Linked DNA regions of Saccharomyces cerevisiae S288C. Changing the gene in region 2 together with the main gene of any one other region gives a genetic interaction. Each region holds a gene or a part of one and is shown on either strand. Other genes may lie near its edges.

The links. Genes that interact genetically often act in the same process or in processes that back each other up.
Region 1: mutations in MGL2 (region 2) and ATF1 impair growth when combined (synthetic growth defect), as found in Saccharomyces cerevisiae (one study listed by BioGRID).
Region 3: mutations in MGL2 (region 2) and TPH3 together harm fitness more than expected from each alone (negative genetic interaction), as found in Saccharomyces cerevisiae (2 studies listed by BioGRID).

Annotation. Positions count from the first base shown.
Region 1 is NC_001147.6:1,044,237-1,049,099, forward strand, and holds ATF1 (alcohol O-acetyltransferase), read left to right. Parts: upstream 1-1,989; coding exon 1,990-3,567; downstream 3,568-4,863. Other genes in the region: YOR376W-A (uncharacterized protein), read left to right, coding at 960-1,115. UniProt on the Saccharomyces cerevisiae protein: Major alcohol O-acetyltransferase that uses acetyl-CoA to synthesize acetate esters from various alcohols, producing ethyl acetate, isoamyl acetate, isobutyl acetate, butyl acetate, hexyl acetate, heptyl acetate and octyl acetate.
Region 2 is NC_001145.3:685,017-690,128, reverse strand, and holds MGL2 (putative carboxylic ester hydrolase), read right to left. Parts: upstream 2,614-5,112; coding exon 1,264-2,613; downstream 1-1,263. Other genes in the region: DML1 (Dml1p), read right to left, coding at 1-1,046; YMR209C (uncharacterized protein), read left to right, coding at 2,845-4,218; ERG12 (mevalonate kinase), read right to left, coding at 4,331-5,112. UniProt on the Saccharomyces cerevisiae protein: Converts monoacylglycerides (MAG) to free fatty acids and glycerol. Has a preference for palmitoyl-MAG. Does not play a significant role in ethyl ester biosynthesis. Also possesses ester hydrolase and low but persistent TAG lipase activity.
Region 3 is NC_001142.9:403,812-408,569, forward strand, and holds TPH3 (Tph3p), read left to right. Parts: upstream 1-1,776; coding exon 1,777-3,462; downstream 3,463-4,758. Other genes in the region: MPS3 (Mps3p), read left to right, coding at 1-1,134; chaperonin-containing T-complex subunit CCT3, read left to right, coding at 3,747-4,758.

The DNA.
Region 1 (4,863 bases), on a different chromosome or scaffold from region 2:
GCGCGGAATTGCTACCACTTTACGTCTTTCTTCATGTTCCTCGGACGTTTCCAATCATTAGCCGTTCCTCTAGACATCTACAGATCTATTCCTAATCACAACCTATCTCTAGCCGCAAGATATATCTGTGTGAGAGGGGTCGCAACAGGAATACCTTAAATGGGATAACCGTCACGTGACTCTCACTAGGGGCATCAAGTGCGCTGCTTCTTCAAGGTTTTCGCGCCCTGTTTGAAGAAGTGGCACAGAATCCATAGAGTAATATTACTAACGAGCTACGAAACTTAGCTTACCTATTAAATACTCAAAGAAAATACGCTGTGTATGCTTTTGCGGCACATCTATGTCATTAAATCTCTCCATGGCGCGTATATTTTATGACGGGAAATCTGAGGCCGATCGAGGAGGGAAATTACTAGAAAAGCTTATCCTTCTTTACCTCCGAACAAATTTTAAAATATACCTCAATGGGAATAAAGAATGCAAGGAAAGGCAAGGTTCAGCCTATGATGATGAATATCGTACTCTAAAATTATAGATATCTAACTGTGGGCGTATTAAACCTTGCTTTGGTCATTATCCAATCGTGTATGCAGAGAGCGGGGCGATATGCAGCAAACAAAAGGGGCGAAATAATAGTTACTCCAAAGATGAAATGGCAGAAGAAAATGGAAAACTATACAGTTTGCGAAGGAGGCATCCTCTTAGTTAAAAAAAAATTTGGACTCATTGCACTGCAAACAGAGTTTCTAGGATTGTCATATTTTGTACCTCCTGGAATGTTAAGACTTTCTCATTAATAATGGTGTGATACACTTATAGTTGGGTGCTAAAAGGTAACTGCAAGCCCCACATCTATAATATTACCGTTAAGTTTCCGGCGAATAGTTTCTCTTTTCGCCCCTCTATTTCTCCCTTCAAATGTGAAGATAAGGAGGACAGCCATAAATATTCCTGTAATGACATTCCATCTTGGGTGGACAATTTTATGGTATAATCAAGCGTATTTAGAAGTTTGGGCGACAGTATTTCAAGACGAGATGCATAAGTATTCTCTTCATCCTCAATCCCGCGATGCTAAAACAAAGTTTTGTTGTTGCATTCCATTTAAGTAGAGCAAAAGCGTGGCAAATCTGAAAAATTGCCACATAGGGTGCTAAATTTGGTATAATGGCACAAATAAACAATCTCAGTTTACTGACAGTGAACTACAGGAATATACAATTTTGAGGTGTTAACGACCAACCGTTAATAGCTTATTCTCTCATATGTTATACCACTGTAGGAAGAGGTGGTTTCAACTGTATTTTGAGCACAGGTAGATATAAGCTCTGGACAGTTTTGCTACCCCTTGAAAGAATTCAACAGTATTTTCTGAGGTACTCATCGTAAAAGATTGCTAATTTTGGTCGCGATGTATATAGGTAAAGGAGTATTTCCTAAAAGTTGCCAAAGATTATCAAAATATTACCGTGTTTATAAAATAAACTGACACCCGGATAATTAAGAAGTGGTAAGCTTATGTTAGAGTACTTGTACTTGACAAGTAAAATCAGAATTGGGAATTATCAATTGAGATCACGTGCAAACCGAAGAAATGCAAAGAAGTAAGGTTAGGGTTTATGGACCCAGGCAGCAGAAAATTGTAGCTTCATTTGTTGGCACAGGACTATTCCACCCTTAGAATTGACTTTTTGGACATTGAGCTAAGGTTCAATGCACTCGATGGTCTTCTCACTTCCGAATATATAGATCTAGCGTGTGAGGACTACTCATTGGCTTGCGATTTACGGTTTTTATATTTTTTGCCGCACATCATTTTTTGGCCTGGTATTGTCATCGCGTTGAGCGGACTCTGAATATAATCCTATTGTTTTTTATGGATCTCTGGAAGCGTCTTTTTGAAGCCAACCCAACAAAAATTCGAGACAAGAAAATAAAAAACGGCACTTCATCAGTATCACAAATACCATCAATTTATCAGCTCTCATGAATGAAATCGATGAGAAAAATCAGGCCCCCGTGCAACAAGAATGCCTGAAAGAGATGATTCAGAATGGGCATGCTCGGCGTATGGGATCTGTTGAAGATCTGTATGTTGCTCTCAACAGACAAAACTTATATCGAAACTTCTGCACATATGGAGAATTGAGTGATTACTGTACTAGGGATCAGCTCACATTAGCTTTGAGGGAAATCTGCCTGAAAAATCCAACTCTTTTACATATTGTTCTACCAACAAGATGGCCAAATCATGAAAATTATTATCGCAGTTCCGAATACTATTCACGGCCACATCCAGTGCATGATTATATTTCAGTATTACAAGAATTGAAACTGAGTGGTGTGGTTCTCAATGAACAACCTGAGTACAGTGCAGTAATGAAGCAAATATTAGAAGAATTCAAAAATAGTAAGGGTTCCTATACTGCAAAAATTTTTAAACTTACTACCACTTTGACTATTCCTTACTTTGGACCAACAGGACCGAGTTGGCGGCTAATTTGTCTTCCAGAAGAGCACACAGAAAAGTGGAAAAAATTTATCTTTGTATCTAATCATTGCATGTCTGATGGTCGGTCTTCGATCCACTTTTTTCATGATTTAAGAGACGAATTAAATAATATTAAAACTCCACCAAAAAAATTAGATTACATTTTCAAGTACGAGGAGGATTACCAATTATTGAGGAAACTTCCAGAACCGATCGAAAAGGTGATAGACTTTAGACCACCGTACTTGTTTATTCCGAAGTCACTTCTTTCGGGTTTCATCTACAATCATTTGAGATTTTCTTCAAAAGGTGTCTGTATGAGAATGGATGATGTGGAAAAAACCGATGATGTTGTCACCGAGATCATCAATATTTCACCAACAGAATTTCAAGCGATTAAAGCAAATATTAAATCAAATATCCAAGGTAAGTGTACTATCACTCCGTTTTTACATGTTTGTTGGTTTGTATCTCTTCATAAATGGGGTAAATTTTTCAAACCATTGAACTTCGAATGGCTTACGGATATTTTTATCCCCGCAGATTGCCGCTCACAACTACCAGATGATGATGAAATGAGACAGATGTACAGATATGGCGCTAACGTTGGATTTATTGACTTCACCCCCTGGATAAGCGAATTTGACATGAATGATAACAAAGAAAATTTTTGGCCACTTATTGAGCACTACCATGAAGTAATTTCGGAAGCTTTAAGAAATAAAAAGCATCTCCATGGCTTAGGGTTCAATATACAAGGCTTCGTTCAAAAATATGTGAACATTGACAAGGTAATGTGCGATCGTGCCATCGGGAAAAGACGCGGAGGTACATTGTTAAGCAATGTAGGTCTGTTTAATCAGTTAGAGGAGCCCGATGCCAAATATTCTATATGCGATTTGGCATTTGGCCAATTTCAAGGATCCTGGCACCAAGCATTTTCCTTGGGTGTTTGTTCGACTAATGTAAAGGGGATGAATATTGTTGTTGCTTCAACAAAGAATGTTGTTGGTAGTCAAGAATCTCTCGAAGAGCTTTGCTCCATTTACAAAGCTCTCCTTTTAGGCCCTTAGATCTCACATGATGCTTGACTGATATTATTCGACAATATGATTATGTCGTGTAAATAACCCACTTTCATGTTGTCACTCCCTCGGCTTTGGTTGGTTAAAGGGACTTATCGGTTTCTTTTTTTAGAGTTGATTTAAGATCAGATCGAAGTAAATAACGTGCAGAACATTGCATATGATAGATAACAACCTATAGTATATATTTCAAAATCGCGACAAATCTGAAATATTAATTGATTTGATTAGCTGCAGAGATCTTCTCGATGTAAGGAGCTATTTAAATAGAAAGGGTCAGAATCGTCGTCCTGTGGGAGCTGGTATATACTAAATTGATGAACAACTAAAATAGCACTCTCATTGTCATTTTGGGTGTGAGACCTTAAGCAAGGAGAGATATTTTTAATGGATGTATTAGCGCAGCCGTTGCTTACGGTATTCCTTGGCATATTGTCCCTGAAAAAAAACCGTTGTACACTCGGATACGCATTTTTCGGACTTCTCCCACCCAAGAAACGCAACTTTTGAAGGGCGCCTACACCACTAGACCAACAAGGCCAATGCAAAGCTACAAACAAATGCGTGGGCGCATGGGCATAAGGAGGTGTAAAAAGCTTTTTTTTTTTATGTGAGGAATTACAGGCGGAAGATACTCAAATAAAGCACTGATTTGATGTTACCGAACTTTTCCCCAGGCATAAAATTTTATTTTCATATTTCATCAATTCGATATTATTGATATCGCACCTAATGTAGTCATTTCCTTTCTCTCTTTGCTAGTAGATTTTAAAAAGGTTTCTTGCTGTATTTTTTTATACTTTTATAGACGCCGCTTTCCAAAGTTCATCTAAAATAAGTCGCTACAATGATTTGATCTTGATTCGGTGCTTCAGGAGCCTGCTTGCTTCTTTGCAGCTTCGGCAATTTGGAACCTTGTGTGCATATCCTCGTTTGTAAGCCCAGAAGCACACAGACATCGATCACATCTATAATAGGAGCATGCTATCATAAAAGATTCACAGTATTCGTATAATTACATGGCAGACTTTTTGAAAAGAATGGTATGGAACCAAGTGAGCGCCTAGAAAAAAAGCTGAAAAGCTGAAATCTTAATTGGATAAGAAACTTCAATAACATTTTTCACGCGTTTCTTTTTCAACTAGATTAGCCTTAACAAACGACAATCATCGAGTACCCACGCTCATTACGCTGAACGTGCAAATGTAACGGGGTGGAAACCTAAAACGTTGAATGAACTAGCCAGAACGATGACAATTGCGGCAAGCTTTCCATACGTGTTCT
Region 2 (5,112 bases):
CAGAATGAGTAATCGGTGTCACCGATAACCATGCCAGTGACCATATTTCGCGACGAATATCCTAAGGTAATGGCAGTTGTTAGATAATCCATTGTCTTTCTTTGTTCAAGATTGCTTTGGGAAATTGTCGCATTTATAGAATCAAATATCCTACAGCTCTTTCCAGCAGTTTCCCAATTAGTTAGTCCAGGAGCAGCATACAATGGGAAGTAAAGATCGGATTCTTGCATCATATTTATTGTGCTTCTTAATTTGTTCGAAATGATCGGGAGCCATTTCTTTGAAAGTCTTTTCATAGGGAAGTCATCTGTGAATGGATCATCTTCATTGTGTCCCCATGAAAAGACCGCCTTTTTAGGTAATTCATTCCTTAATTCCACCAGTAGAGCACTAGAAAACCCGCCCCATCCACTCTCCATATCACTTACAAGATTGAAGCCTTGCAGGGTGTCACATTTTTCCAATTCTCTATGCAAATTTCCATCAAAAAACTCTTGCAAGTAATTTTCGGTAAATTCGTCATAACCAATGGAATACCTGTCAAACTTTCGCTCCCCCAAGTTTTGAAAGTCAGGTTGGTTTGGATTTTCAGTGTCATGGTACCAATTTCTCAAAATATTGAAACTTGAAGGACCATAGATAAGTTTAGAATAGTCAGACCAATACATCGTATTTTCTCTGTTCAAACAAGGCAGCGGTGCTCCTGCATCTAGAGAACTCTGATATTCGGATTTAGGTATTCTTGGATGAGTCTTTATAACTGTTTGCTCCTTGAATTTGTCTTCATTGCCGAAATGATAGTCTTGGCTTTCTGAATATTGATATGTTCCTAGTGAACCATTACCTGTACGGGCATCCCAAAGTAAGGCACGTGGTGCATATGAAATTGTTTTTGAAACTTTATCTACAACCGAATTCAGAAAAATTTTGGAGTCATTGACTTGTTGTTCTTTAGACAATTGTAAATAGCCCTCTTGTATATTGAAGAATTGAGTAGTCAAATGGTTTGCTCTCTGCGAAACCGATATCGTTACTACTTCATGCATTTTTTATTCTTGTCTGCCAATTATATATGTAATTTTAACAATTAACCCTCTTCTTCCAAGGTTTTAATTCATCGCATCGATTATATTTTGTTCCATTCGAAATTTTCCATTTTAAGTTTGGCGAAGCTTTTCACGTTTTCATTCAGAAATAATGATGTCGAACATCAAAAAAAAAAATTATCAGGTTACACATCTAAAAAGTTGACTTATTTACAAACTAATTCGCGCGAAAGGTTGTGGCTATGGGTTCGCAATTAGGATCTGGGAGTTGAACATTTTCCAAGTCAGGTTTTAAGCCCTTTACAGTAATTTCGTCGTGAAATATTTTCAAAAATCTGCATAAGGGTTCTGCGTACCACCTTCTGCCGGATCTGTCTTTGAACCATCCAACATGCCCCCCCGTCGAAGTTTCTAGAAGCAAAGTGTATGGATTGGATTTTATTTGGTCTATAGGAAGATCACCTCCGACAATTGGGTCATCCTGAGCATGCAAAGCTATAAAAGGAGTTCTGATCCCGGGTATTCTTTTATATGATGAAGCATTCTTGTAATACTCCTCTGCATTTTTATATCCAAACATTGGGCCTGTCAACAAGTTATCAAATTGCCTCACAGTGCGAATCTTTTTTAAATGCTTCTCGATAACATCTTTGAAATCAGGGTTTTCTTCCAGAGTAGAGAGATGGTTTCGAACCATGCGTAGTAAGTTGTGACCCAAAGCAGGTGAATAAAATCGTGACCCCATTGGTGTACTGTTAATAAAATATGCAGAGTTGTACAGGTCAAATGGATTACTCACGGAAATAGCACATTCGATTTTAGTACGATCTGACTCTTCTCCCAAGTAATTTGTCATTATAGATGCGCCTAACGAAAATCCCATCATATAAAACTTTCTATTCGGAAATCTTTTCCTCAAGTCATTAACACAATATCTTATATCATTGGTCCAACCACCGTTGTATAATAGCGGCGTTGTAATTGCAGAATAACAACATCCTCTAGCATTAAACACGCATGCTTCAAAGTCATACTTCGTGGTGATTTCATGAACAATTGCCCTCACGTAGCTTTCCCTCGAACCCCCTGTTAATCCATGGAGAATAATAAGCATAGGCTTAGCATCGTCTGAGTTCAATTTAGGATCATCAGGGGAATAGTACGAATATCTTCGTTTCAAGTTTCCGTTAAATACCGGTTGACTTGTCGGCACGTATTCTTTTTCCACTTTTCTTCTTTTGGTACTTCTACCATTTACAGCAAAATCCACAGTCCCTTCTCCCCCATGTGGGTATTTGATTATCATTCTTTTATATTGAACTTTGTATATATTGTCAAAGTGTCTAAAGGAACCATATGCAGTTTGTAAATGGCCATTGACCAGTAAACCATATAAAGTGTCAGTAGCACCGTCAGCTAATTCAGGAACTTTAGTATCTATTAGCTCAGGGATGGTGATCTCTTTATTTTCATTCTCTCGTTTATCGGTGGACTTGAATGCAATAGGATCCTCAGGGACCTCTTGATGAACAATCAAAAAATTAGGTAACAATTCTTTTAGACGCATATCGTCTCTGGAAGTTTACCAGCGTTTGTATAATACAGTTTTAAAATAACAAAGTAGTTGGTTTTTATCGAACTTCAAATAATTGAGACCCTTTTAAGATCCACAATACTTTTCGGGGTTAGGTAAGAAGACCCGTAAAAAAAAAAAAACGTAAACGATGCTGTACAATTAACAAATTTTTCAGGAAATAGAAGAGGTAAAAATATTGATATACGAAGTTGAGGAGCGCCAATGGTTAGCTCACTGGCATCAAATATAATTCTAGCCCTTGTGGTAGTCCTGATGACACTGCTAAGGCAAAATAAGCCGTTGCAGAGGTGGTTTGTATCATATGTTGAAAAGCTATTATCAAGAAAATCAAATCTGGCCCAAAAAGTCAGCGTTTTATCGCCCTCCTTAAAATTGGTTGATGTTGAGAAATCAATATCTGCCGATCAATCGAATCTTTCTAAAATTAATTATCAGATTCCCACTCTTCCTGATCTTACGGGGAATTTAATCCGTTTACATGAGTATCGAGCAAGAGGAGAAGGCTATAATGGCCTTTTATTTCGGAGAGCAAGACAATTAAATGGAATTTCAGAAGATCAGTTGCAAAAATTAGGCTACTTCACCAAATTAATGAAAAATAATGAGGGTATCCGAGAAAACGCAAGAGTTATTGACAAGATAATTGAGTTCACTTTAGGGAAATTGATTCATTCCAACGAACACGATGAAGAATTTACAGAGGAAATTGAAAAGATATGCGCGGAACACGGCTATAAGATTAAAGATGGTCACCTTATTCAATTGAATCCTGACTTCGTATTTCCAATAGTTTCGTCTCGAGGCAGCCAAAGTGTGGTCCATGAAGCATTAGCACATTTGTGTCGTGATTTCAGCTCTTACTATAGTGTGGAAAGAGATCCTTTACAAAATTTTATCATTAGTAGAATCAACCATCATGTGATTAGTGCCGGGGACATGAAAGAGAAAATTCTTATCGTGACCCCAGGGGCTGGTGTGGGTGGCCTATCCCATACTCTTGCCACCACTTTCCCCAAAATACAGGTGGACTCCATCGAATTATCAGCCTTGATGTACATATGTAACCTATTTGCACTCGAATATAAGCATGACGTTAAGATACGTCCTTTTGTACAACAATATTCATGCCAGACAGTGTTTGATAATCAGTTGAGAAGTTTATCGGCAGATTTGAGCAAAGTTGGCCACCGCAGTAATCTGGACCCACTATGGGGGGACTTCACACGATATTCTCCCATTTCCAAAGACTATGATAAAATTATCATTTGTAGCGCATATTTCATAGATACCGCGGAAAATATGTTTGAATATCTATCCAGTATTGAAGCACTAAAGAAATACTGTAAAGAGCTGCATTGGGTCAATGTAGGTCCATTAAAGTATGGCACCAAACCCTTGGTCCAATTTACAGGAGATGAATTAAGTCGGCTGCGTAAAATTCGCGGGTGGAAGGACCTTGTGGAGGAATATGAAGTTGATAGCTCAAAGGGATTGAATGGCTATTTAACTGATTATGAGTCAATGTATCAAGGATACTATGGTCTGCTTAAATTTCATTCTGTCTTCGAAAGCTGAATTGATACTACGAAAAATTTTTTTTTGTTTCTCTTTCTATCTTTATTACATAAAACTTCATACACAGTTAAGATTAAAAACAACTAATAAATAATGCCTATCGCAAATTAGCTTATGAAGTCCATGGTAAATTCGTGTTTCCTGGCAATAATAGATCGTCAATTTGTTGCTTTGTGGTAGTTTTATTTTCAAATAATTGGAATACTAGGGATTTGATTTTAAGATCTTTATTCAAATTTTTTGCGCTTAACAAACAGCAGCCAGTCCCACCCAAGTCTGTTTCAAATGTCTCGTAACTAAAATCATCTTGCAATTTCTTTTTGAAGCTGTCAATTTGCTCTTGAGTAATGTCTCTTCGTAACAAAGTCAAAGAGCAACCGCCGCCACCAGCACCGGTAAGTTTTGTGGAGCCAATTCTCAAATCATCGCTCAGATTTTTAATAAGTTCTAATCCAGGATGAGAAACACCGATTGAGACAAGCAGTCCATGATTTATTCTTATCAATTCCAATAGTTGTTCATACAGTTCATTATTAGTTTCTACAGCCTCGTCATCGGTGCCTTTACATTTACTTAACTTAGTCATGATCTCTAAGCCTTGTAGGGCACATTCACCCATGGCATCTAGAATTGGCTTCATAACTTCAGGAAATTTCTCGGTGACCAACACACGAACGCGAGCAACAAGATCTTTTGTAGACCTTGGAATTCTAGTATAGGTTAGGATCATTGGAATGGCTGGGAAATCATCTAAGAACTTAAAATTGTTTGTGTTTATTGTTCCATTATGTGAGTCTTTTTCAAATAGCAGGGCATTACCATAAGTGGCCACAGCGTTATCTATTCCTGAAGGGGTACCGTGAATACACTTTTCACCTATGAAGGCCCATTGAT
Region 3 (4,758 bases), on a different chromosome or scaffold from region 2:
TCGTCGCTTTTAATAATCCCTGAATTGCACAATTATTTGAGTGCTTTGATTTCAGACGTTATTGAGTCTCCAGGCATTGGTACTGCTGGAAGCGCTGAAAGTCGTTGGGAGTATGATTTGAATCGCTATGTAAAGGAAATTCTTTCGAATGAGTTGCAATATATCGATAAGGATTATTTCATCCAAGAAATGAACAGAAGGTTGCAATCTAACAAACAGGAGATTTGGGAAGAGATCACAAATAGGTTAGAGACACAGCAGCAGCAGCAGCAGCAGCAGGTTCAACAGGATTATTCTAACGTGCCACAGCAGTATTCGAGCATATTAATGAAAAGATTAATTCACCAAATTTACAATTCCAATCAACACCAATGGGAGGACGATTTAGATTTTGCTACTTATGTTCAAGGTACTAAACTATTGAACCATTTAACTTCACCAACCTGGAGACAGGGCAGTGGGGTACAGCCGATAGAATTACTGACCGACTCCAAACAAAGCTCCTCAACTTACTGGCAATGTGAGAACGAACCTGGGTGTTCATGGGCCATAAGGTTTAAAACTCCTTTGTATCTAACCAAAATTTCGTACATGCATGGCCGTTTTACTAATAACCTACATATAATGAACTCAGCACCAAGACTGATCTCATTATATGTAAAACTGTCACAGACTAAAGAGATCAAAGCATTGCAGACATTGGCAAATCAATACGGTTTCGGGCAGCATCACAAGAGAGACCGAAATTACATCAAGATCGCAAAATTTGAGTACAGGTTGACAGATTCTAGAATACGCCAACAAATGTATCTGCCCCCATGGTTCATTCAGTTAAAACCACTCGTACGCTCAATTGTCTTTCAAGTGGACGAGAACTACGGGAACAAAAAGTTCATATCTCTGAGGAAATTTATCATCAACGGAGTGACACCGCAGGATTTGCAAATAATTGAAAATAACGAGTTCCCTGTTTTACTGGGTGACACCCCAGAATATGGTGTCACTCAGAACACCGACGAAGGCAAGAGGAAAGTTCTCCTATCAAAGCCTCCTTACGCGTCTTCATCTACTAGTACCAAGTTTCATCCCGCTTCTAACGTCCCATCATTTGGCCAAGATGAGCTAGATCAATAAACGACAATAAAAAATTAAACGTTCTAACCCCCTGGCCCCCAGAAAATCGCGCAGATTGACGGCACTCCCTTTAAATCATAGAGTTAATCAGCTACTCACCACTCTCTTTCGGTACTGGCGTTATTCTGAATTCCAACCTTGAACACAGCCACACGGCATTCAGATGTTGCTCCCATGCGTGGACTCACGCTCTGCGATTAACAGCTCATGGAAATTTCCTCGTGCTATTTAAGACTGCAGTCGTTTGGAAATCGGAATATCTTTTTTCGTGCAGTTTTGCGGGAAATTTTCCCTACTTAAAAAGCTGAATGAAAATCAGAAATATCTGCAAAAAAAAAAGGTAAAAAAGGGAAATTTTAAGACATAGCATAAAGGACTTGGTTTTGTTTCAATACTCAGCCCTTTTCATTCATTTCTATCACAAGTTTTTTTTTGCTCTCGTTTCCATTTTCTTCGTTTACTTATTATTGACGTACATCTTTTTTAGTTTCAAATAACATAGCAAGAAGGCTTAACTAAGTTCCTATATTCTTGGCATATTTATCATCATCAGGTCTTTTAAAAGTATCTCAGAACGTAACTTCAACGCCTTTAGATTTTTTTCACAACACGACTCTATTGCAAGAGACAAAAAAAATTAAAATGGGCATTTTGGACTCGCTGAAAAAACCTGTTAATATCAAGAGTTCGCTCCCCAAATTCTCCCGCAGTGCTACCAGCATCAATTTAAGTAGCCACCCAGTAAGTTCACGGTCCTTCCTCGAATTACCACCAGAGCTTTTCAGCATCACTAAACCTATATTTAAGCTTCTGCAAGCACACGCAAATAAGATTTACTTCCAATCTTCCGACGCTGAGGCTGTATGGAATGTTAAGGATTCTTCTGGACATGTTTTTGAAGCAGAGTCAATTTCTTTGCTCGGCTCTCATATAATTATCACAAATTCCTCTGTACAAGTCGCAGACGTGGCCATCATAGATTCCCCTTCCAACATAAACCAATGTGAAATTTCAAGCGTTGGAGAGTTCCTGCAATTCAATAATGGCCAACTATCTATCACATGTAACGATTTTGGTTTACTGGAGAAGTTCAAAAGGTTGTGTATGATTTCTATTTTTGAGTTCATTTCTATATATAAGGCCTTGACAGGCACAGTGATTTCCTCTTATGGGCTGAGAATGTCTGATATGCATATCATTTTGAACTCGCCGTTCAATTTTAAGGATTGGTGTGAAGTTTATCTTGATGGTCAAGGTTGGGTGAAAGTGTGGTGTCATATTGATAAAGTGTCTAAAACCAATAATTCTAAAAGTAGTAGTGACAATGATGCTAAAGGAAAGTATCAAATACGGTTTTATAGAGATGACAAATCCACATCTAGCAAGAACTGCGTTTTTTTTATTCCTGACAATGAGTACGTTCAAGATATTTTCTTTTATAACATCAATGCGGCAGAACCTTCTAAAAATATGAACGACTTTTTTCAAGGGTTGCAAATGATAAAGCTCGTTGGTAATGTACGCTTTTGCAGTGATACGGACTTTAATGATGTGGTGGATAGTGGATCCATCTATAGTAGTGCAAACAACGGCAGTGGTGACAGCAGCTCGACAGCATTGAATAATGAAAGTCCTAACACTACACCAAAAAGTAGAACTTTCTTTTCACCTAAAGGGCACAGAAGAAATAGCTCCCATGTAAGTTCGTTAACTTCTAGATCAACAAAAAAGCCTATAACTAACTTCACTACACGTACAAATGGGCTTTTGATTAGGCCATTGCCCCATCATGGCGTACATCACCTGGAAGCAATGATCAGGTTCATTATTCCTTTGATGGATTGTGCAAGACTTTATGGGCGTCCAGTTCAATTCAAGACAGAAAGAACCGATATAAATTCGTTAATGTTTGGATTACCTAAATTGCCCTCAGTGGATTATTTTGCTGAAGAGGAGATTGCCCATTTGATGACCCAGGAATTTAATCCTTTGAAAGAAAAAGATACTGACGATACTATGGCTTTAACTATGTCAAGATTTTCTAGCTACCTGCAAGAAAGAATGACAAAAGTCTCCAAGAGAAACACAGAACTCAACTTCAGGACCTTTAGTGATGTAATGGGCATGTATAATACTACGAGGGATCACTCTAAACTTAATTGCATGAGTGACAAGGATAATTCTGTGAAGGAATTTTCATTGAGTGATAAAAGCAATGTTAGTTCTGAAACGACTAATATGATGAATCAATTGCAAGTAAACGCCCATGAATACAAAAGTTCTATGTGCGAACGTCCTATCGTCGCAAGTACTTCGCCCATTGCATAGTTCTTCGCATATATAGCCACATCTCAAAAACTTACATACAGTGTATATATTTGTGGTACAGTTTCTGTATAGCCAAATATACCCTGATATAATCTTATGTGATATTATATACTTCCATCCTAATACTAAACTTTTTCGTTTAACGTGACGCATGGTGCGAAGAAAAAAAAATAGCAAATCGCCACTCAATAAAGTGAGTAGAGAGCATTATATCAAAAAAGCATCGATAATATCGAGTGATCATACGTTGAAAATCATCAAGTACAATAGTGATATAAGCCACAATGCAAGCTCCAGTGGTATTTATGAATGCTTCTCAAGAGAGAACTACCGGTCGTCAGGCCCAAATCTCCAATATCACTGCTGCAAAGGCAGTTGCCGATGTCATTCGAACTTGCTTAGGTCCAAAAGCTATGTTAAAGATGTTATTGGATCCTATGGGCGGTCTTGTGTTGACTAACGATGGCCACGCTATTTTAAGGGAAATTGATGTTGCACATCCAGCAGCTAAATCAATGTTGGAGTTATCCCGTACTCAAGACGAAGAGGTTGGTGACGGGACTACAACAGTTATTATTCTAGCTGGTGAGATTTTAGCTCAGTGTGCACCTTATTTGATTGAAAAAAATATTCACCCTGTTATTATTATCCAAGCCTTGAAGAAAGCACTGACTGATGCACTAGAAGTTATCAAACAAGTAAGTAAACCTGTCGATGTGGAAAATGATGCCGCTATGAAAAAATTGATTCAAGCCTCTATCGGTACTAAATATGTCATACATTGGTCAGAGAAAATGTGTGAATTAGCTCTAGACGCTGTTAAGACTGTCCGTAAAGACCTGGGACAAACTGTGGAAGGTGAACCTAATTTTGAAATCGATATCAAAAGATATGTCCGTGTGGAGAAGATTCCTGGGGGGGATGTTCTAGATTCTCGCGTCTTAAAGGGTGTCTTATTGAACAAGGATGTTGTTCATCCAAAGATGTCCCGTCACATAGAGAATCCACGTGTTGTTCTTTTGGATTGTCCACTAGAATATAAGAAGGGTGAATCTCAAACCAACATAGAAATTGAAAAGGAGGAAGATTGGAATAGGATTTTACAAATCGAGGAAGAACAAGTTCAGCTAATGTGTGAACAAATTTTAGCCGTTAGGCCAACACTAGTCATCACTGAAAAAGGTGTTTCAGATCTAGCACAGCATTATTTACTAAAGGGTGGATGTAGTGTTTTAAGAAGAGTGAAGAAATCAGACAATAATAGAATTGCTCGTGTAACTGGTGCAACCATTGTCA